Linked DNA regions of Schizosaccharomyces pombe. Changing the gene in region 2 together with the main gene of any one other region gives a genetic interaction. Each region holds a gene or a part of one and is shown on either strand. Other genes may lie near its edges. The genes, in order: ctt1, ecl2 and hsf1.

Evidence for each region.
Region 1: of ecl2 (region 2) and ctt1, changing one suppresses a phenotype caused by changing the other (phenotypic suppression), as found in Schizosaccharomyces pombe (one study listed by BioGRID).
Region 3: of ecl2 (region 2) and hsf1, changing one suppresses a phenotype caused by changing the other (phenotypic suppression), as found in Schizosaccharomyces pombe (one study listed by BioGRID).

What each region holds. Positions count from the first base shown.
Region 1 is NC_003421.2:56,697-60,453, reverse strand, and holds the start of ctt1 (catalase), read left to right. Parts: upstream 1-1,620; 5' UTR 1,621-1,988; coding exon 1,989-3,527; 3' UTR 3,528-3,757. Other genes in the region: cytochrome c oxidase assembly protein Cox14, read left to right, coding at 1-26. UniProt on the Schizosaccharomyces pombe protein: Catalyzes the degradation of hydrogen peroxide (H(2)O(2)) generated by peroxisomal oxidases to water and oxygen, thereby protecting cells from the toxic effects of hydrogen peroxide.
Region 2 is NC_003423.3:960,806-964,562, forward strand, and holds ecl2 (protein Ecl2), read right to left. Parts: upstream 1,711-3,757; coding exon 1,456-1,710; 3' UTR 202-1,455; downstream 1-201. Other genes in the region: SPOM_SPBP35G2.17 (uncharacterized protein), read right to left, coding at 3,150-3,470.
Region 3 is NC_003424.3:5,057,121-5,060,877, forward strand, and holds the start of hsf1 (DNA-binding transcription factor Hsf1), read left to right. Parts: upstream 1-2,134; 5' UTR 2,135-2,354; coding exon 2,355-2,682; exon of another isoform or gene 2,683-2,693; intron 2,694-2,838; exon of another isoform or gene 2,839-3,024; coding exon 3,025-3,757. Other genes in the region: Set3 complex SANT/Myb domain subunit Snt1, read left to right, coding at 1-1,573. UniProt on the Schizosaccharomyces pombe protein: DNA-binding protein that specifically binds heat shock promoter elements (HSE) and activates transcription. Also required for growth at normal temperatures.

The DNA.
Region 1 (3,757 bases), on a different chromosome or scaffold from region 2:
AATTTAATCAACTCGCCCTCAAGTAAGAAAAAATGGTGCTGAAAAGCTGAAGCTATCAGCATCGTGAATTTTCGAGGACTTTGTGAAGTCTTGGAGAGGGAAATAAAGAATAAAGCGAAATCTAAGTAACTATTTTGTTTACTAAGTTGATGCTGTTTCTGCACTTACTGATGATGACCAAAAAACACTATAGTTCTCTATATAGTGAAATTTAATTCTGCCACCTATAACGTCCCCTCTTTCATGAACAGCAGTTAATGGCATTTATGCTTAAAGTACTTTTACCAACTAAAAATTGAATTCAACATAAAACAAGCTTGTGAATACCACCTTCAATCTTTGTTTGACGAGTCAAATGGTAGTAGTTTATTTAAGCGAATGTAGAGTGAGCGATGGGAAACAACAACGTATGGGTTATATCTTCATCCGCTGAATTAAAACATGCATGGAAATCGTAGTGTTTATATCGAACCTAAAAAATTAGTCAGACCAACGAAAGAAAAAATTCCTTATTATTATTACTTCGTTTTGCTTGAAATTTGTGATGTAGAGGAAAAGAAGGACTTTTATTAAACGTATCATATTCTATTTCACACATTCCTACGGATTGCCTTTACACGCCGTCCATACCTACGGTTTGTCGGTCCTTAGATTGTTTGCATCTCCCATTTTTTTTTTTTTGTAAGCAAGGGACTTGTTTCACTTCCAGCCTTTCTTCGACCTTAGACTTGCACTCCTAAGTATATTGGACGAAAGTATTCTAATTTCAGTAACCTCCTTATCTATTTCACTCTCCTAGTCATACTTCCGATTTGTGCACATTATACCTCTACGGGAAGCTGTGCACAATGAATCCACTTTCTCAGTTCAGTTAATATAGAATAGAAAAAATTTATAATTTAAGAAATATACAATGCGCCCATAAAACACGTTTCCAAACTAATCGATCATAAAATTACCATAACTTCCTTTTCTCACTCACCCATTTCCCGATCTTAGCACATCAACCCGACATCATTTGAAATTAAACCATACTTTTGTGAAATCAATTCTTCAAGCTAAACAAACCGCATGAATACAGGCCAAAATCTACATGCTTGCATATCCTATTTTACCATACATCTGTTTTATTTACTTCCCCAGGAAACACACTATACTCTGCTAATCTACCAAAAACACTGGTTCCAAAGGGTGCATGTCCAGCACAAGTTTGCGACTGAAAAGTCTAGCTTTTAATTTTATTAAGCATCTTTCTCCTCTATATCGACTTGCAGTAGAATTTCATGTCAGCGTCTGTGTCTAGAAACGCTGGTTTTACTAATCGCTAACGATGGGATTTGCCCGCTTACGTTAGCGATGGTGTTGGGAGATTTGATATGGCCAAGTAACGGTATGAGCGCATCGTAAACATTGGCTGAAGGGTGGATTTTGGCGACTACGATAGGCTGTAGAAGAAGTTAATTTGTCATTGTAGCTTCGCTAATAATGATGCTCTTTGGCTCACTAAGCCAATGGAATCTCGGCCATTTGCGTTGGTAAGAGTTTTCCTATTGTGCAAATATGACGTTGGTAATTCTACACCAGACAATATATATAGAGGCAATTGCAAGTTGCTTGAATATACAGCTTTTCACGTAAAAGTAATAGCTTTTGAATAGAAGAATACTATAAGTTCTTCTTTGTGTGTGTGTGATTGTAATTCCCTTGTTCGAATATCGAATTATAGAAATTGTGGTTGTGTCTTGAGTGATTTAGTTAAAGACTCGACACTAATTTTTTAAAAAAACACAATTTTTTGACTGTCTTTTTTTTTCCCCTCCTAACTCTTCAAAGTGTCGGCTTTTCGCATCTTTGAACGTTACTGTCTTGGTAGACAAGCTAGTTTAAAATCATTTGCTCGTCGTTCAACTAATTCCAAGATTAACAATAATAAGCTACTCTTTAACAGATTTGCATCTTCTCAGTCTAAGGATTCAAACATCAGCGAAATGAACTCGAAAGACTCAAATACCGTCCCTGTTTACACCACCAACACCGGTTGTCCCATTTTTAACCCTATGGCTGCGGCTCGTGTGGGTAAGGGAGGTCCTGTCTTACTTCAAGATTCCCATTTAATCGACGTCTTTCAACACTTTGATCGCGAGCGTATTCCTGAACGTGTCGTCCATGCAAAGGGTTCCGGTGCTTTTGGTGAATTCGAATGCACCGACGACATTACCAAGTATACCAAACATACCATGTTTTCTAAGGTTGGTAAGAAAACCCCTATGGTTGCTCGTTTCTCCACCGTCGGTGGTGAAAGGGGTACTCCTGATACTGCTCGTGATCCTCGTGGGTTCGCATTAAAGTTCTACACCGATGAAGGTATTTTCGATATGGTTGGAAACAATACCCCTGTCTTCTTCCTTCGTGATCCCGCTAAATTCCCTCTCTTCATCCATACTCAGAAGCGTAACCCTCAAAATGATATGAAGGATGCTACTATGTTTTGGGATTACCTTTCTCAAAACGCAGAGTCCATCCATCAAGTTATGATTCTTTTCTCTGACTTGGGTGGTACCCCTTATAGCTACCGTTTCATGGATGGCTTTTCCAGTCATACCTACAAATTTGTTAATGATAAGGGTGAATTCTACTATTGCAAATGGCATTTCATTACTAATCAAGGAACCAAGGGTTTAACAAATGAAGAAGCCGCTGCATTGGATGGATCCAATCCCGACCATGCTCGTCAAGATCTTTTCGAAGCTATTGAACGTGGTGATTACCCCAGTTGGACGCTTTACGTTCAAGTTATGACCCCTCAGGAGGCTGAAAAATATCGCTACAACATTTTCGATCTTACTAAGGTCTGGCCTCATAAGGACGTACCAATGCAAAGGGTTGGACGCTTTACCTTGAATCAGAATCCTACCAATTTCTTTGCAGATATCGAGCAGGCTGGGTTCTCTCCTTCTCATATGGTTCCTGGTATTGAAGTCTCAGCGGATCCTGTTTTGCAAGTACGTACATTTTCCTATCCTGATACCCACCGCCATCGTTTGGGTGCTAATTTCGAGCAAATTCCCGTCAATTCTCCTAAGTGTCCTGTCTTTAACTATTCTCGTGACGGCCCTATGAATGTCAATGGAAACCAAGGAAATTGGCCAAACTATCCATCCTCAATCCGACCACTTGCTAAAGTTCAATATGAGCCTGACGAAGGTCACGAAAAGTGGGTAGGTCAAGTTACTTACCATATGGACGAAATTACCGACGTTGATTTTGAGCAACCTAGAGCGTTTTGGCAAAATGTTTTGGGCAAGAAACCTGGACAGCAAGATAACTTTGTTAAGAACGTTGCCGGTCACTTGTCTGGTGCTATATCTCCTGTACGTGAACGCCAATACGGTGTATTTACTCGTGTTGATTCAGAGCTTGGTCGCCGTATTCGTGAGGCTACTGAAGCTGAAGTGAAGAAGATGGAAGAAAAAGCCCCCAAGCCAATTAACAAGGGCGAACCCCATATGTTCCAAGGAAGCTCATAATGCGCTTATGCGAAATTAGTTTGTAAAAAATTTGAGTCAGCTAGGTTTATCGGATGACTACTATTTTATTCTTTGAATGCGAGACATGTGTAATGCCGTTAGAAATTTATTTAATTTGATAAATGTTAATTAGGAAATATATATTTTAACCTCAATAAGCACATAACATTGATAAGAAAGCAAACAATCTTGACATATTAGGTTAACATATAAATAAGGTCTAAGGCTTA
Region 2 (3,757 bases):
TATTAAATTTATTTTTGCTAATTCCTGCCCTCTAGTTGGCATCCCAAATAGATCCATTTGAATAAAGATGAACACTTAACTAGAAAAGTAAAACAACCTTTCAACCTAATACTGCTGTACAAAGCGCTTTTATTATTCAGCCAGTATTTATGTATTACCTTTGCGCACAAAATAATTCGTTTACATGTCAACCACAGTAGATATACGTTAATTTTTTAATTTTATTTTTTCTTCTAGCAACCAAAGCACTTTAATAAAATTGAATATTTTTAAAAGCGTTTTCAATTTTTATGCTTTTTTTTTATCATAACAATATAAATTTCATCAAAATAAATATTTTATCGTTTTTTAAAGTACTGATGCCAGTTAAATGTCCGTATCGATTCGTAGAAAACAAAGTGCTTGGGTATAAAATAGTTTGATACGCAACCTCTAAAAATTGTCTAATGCAAAAATCCCACGTAAACGATGAGCCAAAAACTGAGAACTTAAAGCACGACACACATAAATAACTCTAAAGCTTCAAAACCAATGGGACAATGCAAAATGTTGATATGCAAAAGAAATGATGAAGTGAGGGAAAGCCTAGAGCTTCTATGTATTTTAAAAATACGCGCTCAGAAGAACTCAGCATAAAGTTGTCCCAGATGCCAGAGCATAATGTAAAAAGCACGAATGACAAATCTCGAATACAGTTAGACAGTGCAAATAAAATGCGATTGCAGAAAAGAAGTAAGAATAGTTGCGTGACACACCGAAACAAAAGTCCATATCATAAGAATAAAAGAATCGTAAAAAATATCCATCGTATTTCGAAAGAAATAAAAAATGCCATTACGAATTGACGAAAAAGTCCGAGTACCAAATCCACTCATACAATATCGTTATCATAGAAAATCATAAAAAACCCCAATGAAGCCAAACAAACATTGTAATGGAAACATACCATCAACATTGCGTGAACGAATTAAGTTGTACAACTCATGAAATAATGAAGTGCATAAACAAAATATACGCACCAACATCATTTGGAAATTTAAGATAGTATGTAAGGATGCTTGGCTATCAATTTAAGAAACATACACGGTATGAACCGCAAAAATCAATGATCAACTATTCACACACGGTTAGTGTAGTGATCATCATTTAAGAAAGGCATAAAAATTTTTAAGTATCATAATAATTTGAAAAAAAAAACTTCAAGTTATAAGAATTATAAAATAAAAATAGGTTTAAAAAAAGGCACAATTAAATATAAGTACCCATGAGAAATAAAAAATAAAATGGAACCGGAAGATAAAGAAATAAGTAAATAAATTTTCCCAGATTAAACAGGAGAAAATGAAAAAAAAAACCGAGATAGAGAGAAATGAAATATAATTTTTTTGAGCCGTTGGCAATGAATGTGTGTATATCAACGACACCGTCGTTGGAATAATGCAATGTAAGGTAAAATTAAAGAACAGCAAGTCTGGAAGCGACAAAACCGTTCAAAAGAGAAGACGAAGTGGATGGGGAAGGCATGGAAGACCTTCTTCGGAAATGATCTAAATATTGGGAAGATAACATATGAAGATCAGCCGACTTAGAGTAAGAACACTGCTCCGAAGTCGAACCACAGCCGGGGCAATCCTGCAGATGACATTCACGAGAGCAATACAAGTTGCCAGTAGTGGGTTTTCCGCAAATTATGCAATAATCCAAATCCATGTCTCTAACGAATACAAAAGGATGAAGAAATTAGAAAAAGAAAATTAAAATGACTTGTTAACGAGGAAAAACCAATGAATGAGCCAAGCTGAGGCGAGCTAGTATTGGATCCTATTGAAGAAAACCAGATAAAACGGATGAGCGTATAAAGCGGACTAAAAAGAAATTTCAAAGTCGAAATATACGGGACGTTTGGAAGATATTTCCGATTTAGTAGAGGAAGAAGAAAGAAAAGAACTTAGCTTCACAATAAAATAAAACAAATCCTTCTCAATTTCAAGGAAGAGATGAGTCCTGCGGGTGATTCAACAAGACGAAAAGAGGTTAGGATGGAGAAAACGAGGAAAAGTGAGTTCTACTCAATCACACAGCGAAACTGTTTGTCGAGGAAAACAAGAGACACTTAAGAAGGACAGTTCGTTTAGTTCAAGCAATCAAGAACAGCGAGTATAAGTCAAAAACCCTTTGCTGATCTATATGTTAATCTTCTACGACCTCTCAGTCGGACTGCTGCGCTCTATATATACATCTGAAAACTGCGCACGCAATCTGTCCAGATGATCTGACCTGAGATACCATACTATCGGTAAAATACGTTAAGAAAACAGCATACACTGTGTTTGATCTCATAATGCACATCCGACCGACTGCATATGCTAATACATTGCGTGAGTTGCGTACAATGTTACCTCTTCATAATTTGATTACAACACACAAGAGAAGAAAGCAGAACGACTGATGTGGGGGATTTGAGTCGGAAGTGGGAAACCGAGAAAAACACTGTGTGTACTAACTCGCATACTAAATGCACACACAAACGCTAGCTCAGCCGGGGTGTCATATACAATAGTAAAAACACACTACATTTTTTATTTTTTCATTTTAATTCTCGAATACTCTTCTACTCACTTTAAGCGACCTTTCGCATCATATTCTCCGCCTTTAAACCCCAAAAATACATGTGAGAAGACAGTTGTACGCCAGCTCACAACAACATGATGCTGATCGCACATCTTTGGACTGTAAAAAGAGGCACCGATGCAGTCAGTAGCGGAGCAAAATGGAGAACCATGGTGATGATGACTTTTTTTCAACGAGAGATTTAAGGCGATAGGTGGGGTCGAAATATAGCATGTATAAAGATGTGCAGGGCAGGGATGAAAAATTAAACTGACGGTTGGGAATGAATGAGAAAAAAAAGAAATTAGTTTAAATTATAATAAAATAGAATAAAATAAATGGAATTCAATAATAGAGAACTAGAGAAGTAAAAATAAAAAGAGAAAAAATAATAAAACAAAATTTACACATGATAGAGATATAAATATATTTCACTATTAGAGAATGGTTTTACTTTTATATATCTATTTATTTATTTATTTATTTTTTTTCGATTTCTAACGACAAAGTGCGAATCGTTTATTGATTATACATTGTATTTATGATAGTAGGTGAGCAAACAACCGGAACTCGAAAAATATTTGCGAAAACTTGCGTACAAAAAGATGAGTGAATTCTAATAAAATGAAATGACTGTGGCATGATTGATGTTTTGTTTCCCATGTCTCAATGAGTAGCATCAAAATTAATTTTACCTGTTGTCCTTGTGCGACACCCATAGCGGGAGAACTAGCTAAAAAAGAAGTGAAATCTCGTTGTTGTTTCACACATTGTCTTACAATTCCATGGAATGACTTGATTCTGAAGACGGTCGGAAGCAACTTTCTGCCTCGACCGGTAACGTAGAATTCACGTACCATTTACTTATACTCATGTAACCTTGTTGTAAGTGTTTGGGATCTTTGAATCTAACGTTCGCGGGATCTAGCACGTGTTACTCTGTAGTTTGCCACGAAGCAATAACTCCTCAGCAAAGAGCTAGGATGCAACACTCTGCCAACAGTAACAATCACCAACTGTAGTAGCTACTGGATCCGATCCCACCTGTGCTTCCTCTGTAGGTATGCAAAACATCCCACATAGGTACATCTATCCCACATTTTCACGTACCCATCCCACATGTATCCATCCTACATACATCCATGTG
Region 3 (3,757 bases), on a different chromosome or scaffold from region 2:
GGAGGAAAATATTGCTCGGGTTGACAGATTGACTGAAATAGACAAAACTAAGAATGCTAAAAAATCGGAACCGTTTATCAAACGAAGTACACGTAAAGTGATGAGCAACTTTACAGCTGGTGATATAGTTCGTTCCGAAGAAGAGTTTTTGGAGATTTTAGCAAAGCTCGAGCAGCAAGAAAAAGAAGCAAGCAATGTATCTGAGGCCTCTCGAATTGCTACTATTCCTCCTATGATACTTTCAGAAGAAGAAGTGAAAAGTCAATACTTTAATGATCAGAGCCGGTTAGTAACAGATTGTCCTAAATTCTATCACTTTCAAAGTATGCCTGACATATGGAATGAAGAACAGCATTCCATTTTCGTTCAGCAATTTATTTTACATGGAAAAAAATTTGGTAAAATCGCAGAGGCAGTGCCAGGAAAAAACTCTAAAGAATGTGTATTACATTATTATCTGACAAAAAGGACAACTGACTATCGAGCTTTGGTAGCATCTGCAACAAAAACTAAGGGTCGTCGGCGAAAAAAGCTCCTTCCTTCTCAAAGAGGTGGAAAGAAAAAGTCCAAGGGTTCTGCTCTTATGGTTGATATTGAAGCTGCGGATATTAATAAAACGGAAGAGAATATCAATAATCAATTTCAAGAAGCTTCCGTCACTGCTGATAATATGAATACTTGGGATAATACGCCCTCTGTTGAAAATGTTGAATCTGCGAATGAGAATGTTAATAATCACAATGCTGATGAACAAATGGATGAAAAAATAAAGTCTTTGGTTGAAGGGAATAGTGCTTATGAAATTGAAAAAGGAGCTCAAGAGCCTGACCCTATGTCTATTGATATGACCGATAAGAGCGAGACTGTGTCTGGTTTCAAACATGATGTTGACGTTTATGATACAGCTGAAAATGAAGGGAATAACACATTACTGCAAATCAAAGAATCCGTTCATGAGAAAACGCCGACACAGGACGAGCCTATGGATATTAGCCAGGATACCATAAAGCAGGAGGATTACTATGAACCAAAGCTTGAACAACATTCTTCTTCCAAGCGTAACAGTATTTCAACTAGGAAGGAGGAGGATGCAGCTTCGGCTCTAGCGAACCTGTCTGCCGTTGGTCGTTCCATATCCGCCGTTGATGAGTCTGCTCACCAAGGGCACTTGCCTGGTTGGGATGAAAAAGAAGAAGCGTTAATATTTTCGTTGGCCCAAGGTATGAATCCAATGAAAATGCCTCTTACTCCAAGAAGAGCCTCCACTGGTCCTCGGCCACGCCCTACTTTCCAATTGACCGAAATTGATTCTCCAAATCGCCGTCGAGCTAGTGATTGCATTACACCGTCAATATCAAAGATACTGAAAATGGTGTCTGAAGATGCAAAAAGTCAACGCATAGACGAGTTATCAGTCGAGGATCAAGAGCATACAACACATTCATCTCATACGACATCAGACATAAACGCATTTCCGAATAGTCAATCATTTCCACGAGCATCAATTCATACATTAGCAGCATTGGGCGAAGACATTGTTGAACGCCAGTCCAAAAACGATAAAATTGTATGAGTTGTGACGTTTAGTGTTATTTAATGGCGTTATTTACCATTTGTTGTTATATGAAGGGGTTTTGTTTTCTAATTCGCAAATTGGTACCTCCTTACGTGATGCCTTACTCGACTTATCTCGAATTCTACTTTAATCCTTTTTTTTTTTTCTTTTGTATATATTTTCTATTACTTTTAATGTGAGAGTTCTATATGTGTCGGGTTATGATGGTGAGTTTTTATTAAAAAAGTAAAAACTCTATAATAACTTGACTGCCGATCGTTTACGAAATCTATCAAGAGACGAATTTTTTCAATCAATAAATCTTCATGTGAAATCTAGTTATTAGTCTCGGCGACGGAAACGCTTAATTAGTAGCGTTAGTAAGTTAATCTGTAATTGACACATAACAATTTATTCGATTTAATAATTTTTTGCATTTTTTGTTGCATGCAAAACCGACACCAAAAATAAATACCGAGTGGCTAAATGACCTCACTAAACAAATTAGCGATATACCCCGGTGAATGATATATGGTGTATTGTAATCATTCGGTAGTGGATTATTGCAAAATATAACTTGACATCAACCAACGACACCCGCTTCAAATTTCGGTGAGAGCTTGTTAAAGCTACTGAGAAAGTATACATTATTTAAGAATATCTTGATTGAACCTTGTGAAATACGAACTGCATATTCTTCCCTGGTGGTTGAGAAGAAGGTACTGAGAATTCCTTTAAATCAGTAACGGACATATATATTTTTGTTAAATTAACGGCACCCATAATAAATTGATTTTTAATGATTCAGACTGCATCGACAATTTCAAGCAATGGCGGAACGAATCAGGGAATGGAGTCCAGCAGCGCAAATTCACCGGAGATGAATGGGACACAAAATTCGATGTCCGTAGGGATGTCGGGCTCAGGTTCTTCACAAAATAGGAAAATCACACAGTTTAGTAATAAACTGTACAATATGGTGAACGACTCGTCGACAGATTCCTTAATTCGATGGAGCGACCGGGGTGATTCGTTTTTGGTTATAGGGCATGAAGATTTTGCTAAGCTGGTTCTTCCACGGTATTTCAAGCACAATAATTTTTCTAGTTTTGTTCGGCAATTAAACAGTAAGTGTCTTTAAAAAGTGAAGGTGTAACAAAAAGTCGAAGACAAGCTTTTACACAATTAATTTTTTTTATTATGAATGTGTCCCCCTACTTGTCTGCATTTATTCGAAGATATATCGGGCTTTGGAAAACTTTTGGATCAGTAAGCTTAACAACGACTATCTCTTTCGATTGTTCTTCCGTTCCACTTTTCGACGATATGAAAAATATTGCAATACTTCGGAATTATTGATTATTTATCTAATTAGTCTTTGTCAAGCCCTTTTCTATCTTTTCTTGTCCTTCGCATCTCATTTTATTACATTCATTTTTTTTTTTTTTTGGTTTACTAACTTTTTACAGTGTACGGCTTTCATAAAGTCCCTCATATACAGCAAGGTGTTTTACAATCCGATAGTCCCAACGAGCTTCTCGAGTTTGCAAATCCAAACTTTCAACGTGACCAACCTGAATTACTATGCCTAGTAACGCGAAAAAAGGCCGGTAGCCAACCCGTTGAAGAATCAAATACCAGTTTAGACATGTCTACGATATCCTCTGAGCTACAGAATATTCGCATCCAGCAGATGAATTTGTCGAACGAACTCAGTAGGATCCAAGTCGATAACGCAGCTCTTTGGCAGGAAAATATGGAAAATCGCGAGAGACAACGTCGCCATCAAGAGACGATTGATAAGATCCTTCGTTTTCTTGCCAGTGTATATTTGGATGGTAAACAGAAGCCACCTAGCAAAGTTATGCCCAAAAGTCGTCGGCTCTTATTAGAAGCTAAATATCCTACGGTTTCACCTACGAATGAACCGTCTGCGCATTCAAGGCCTTCACCTCAAGGTACTACTGCTAATTCTAGTAGTGCTAGTATCTCCTCTTTACACAATACGACTCCTGATGGAGAGGGCAAATACAGATCCGTTCAAAATGGACGAGCTTTAAATTATGTTTCTTCTTTTAATTCGGATTCGCATTCACCGAAGGATTATATTTCTCAAAGCTATACGAATGAGCCAGGACTTAAAAAGGAATCTGCCGATTCCTTTAACAATTCGATTGACTCATACATTTCTCCCAATCAATC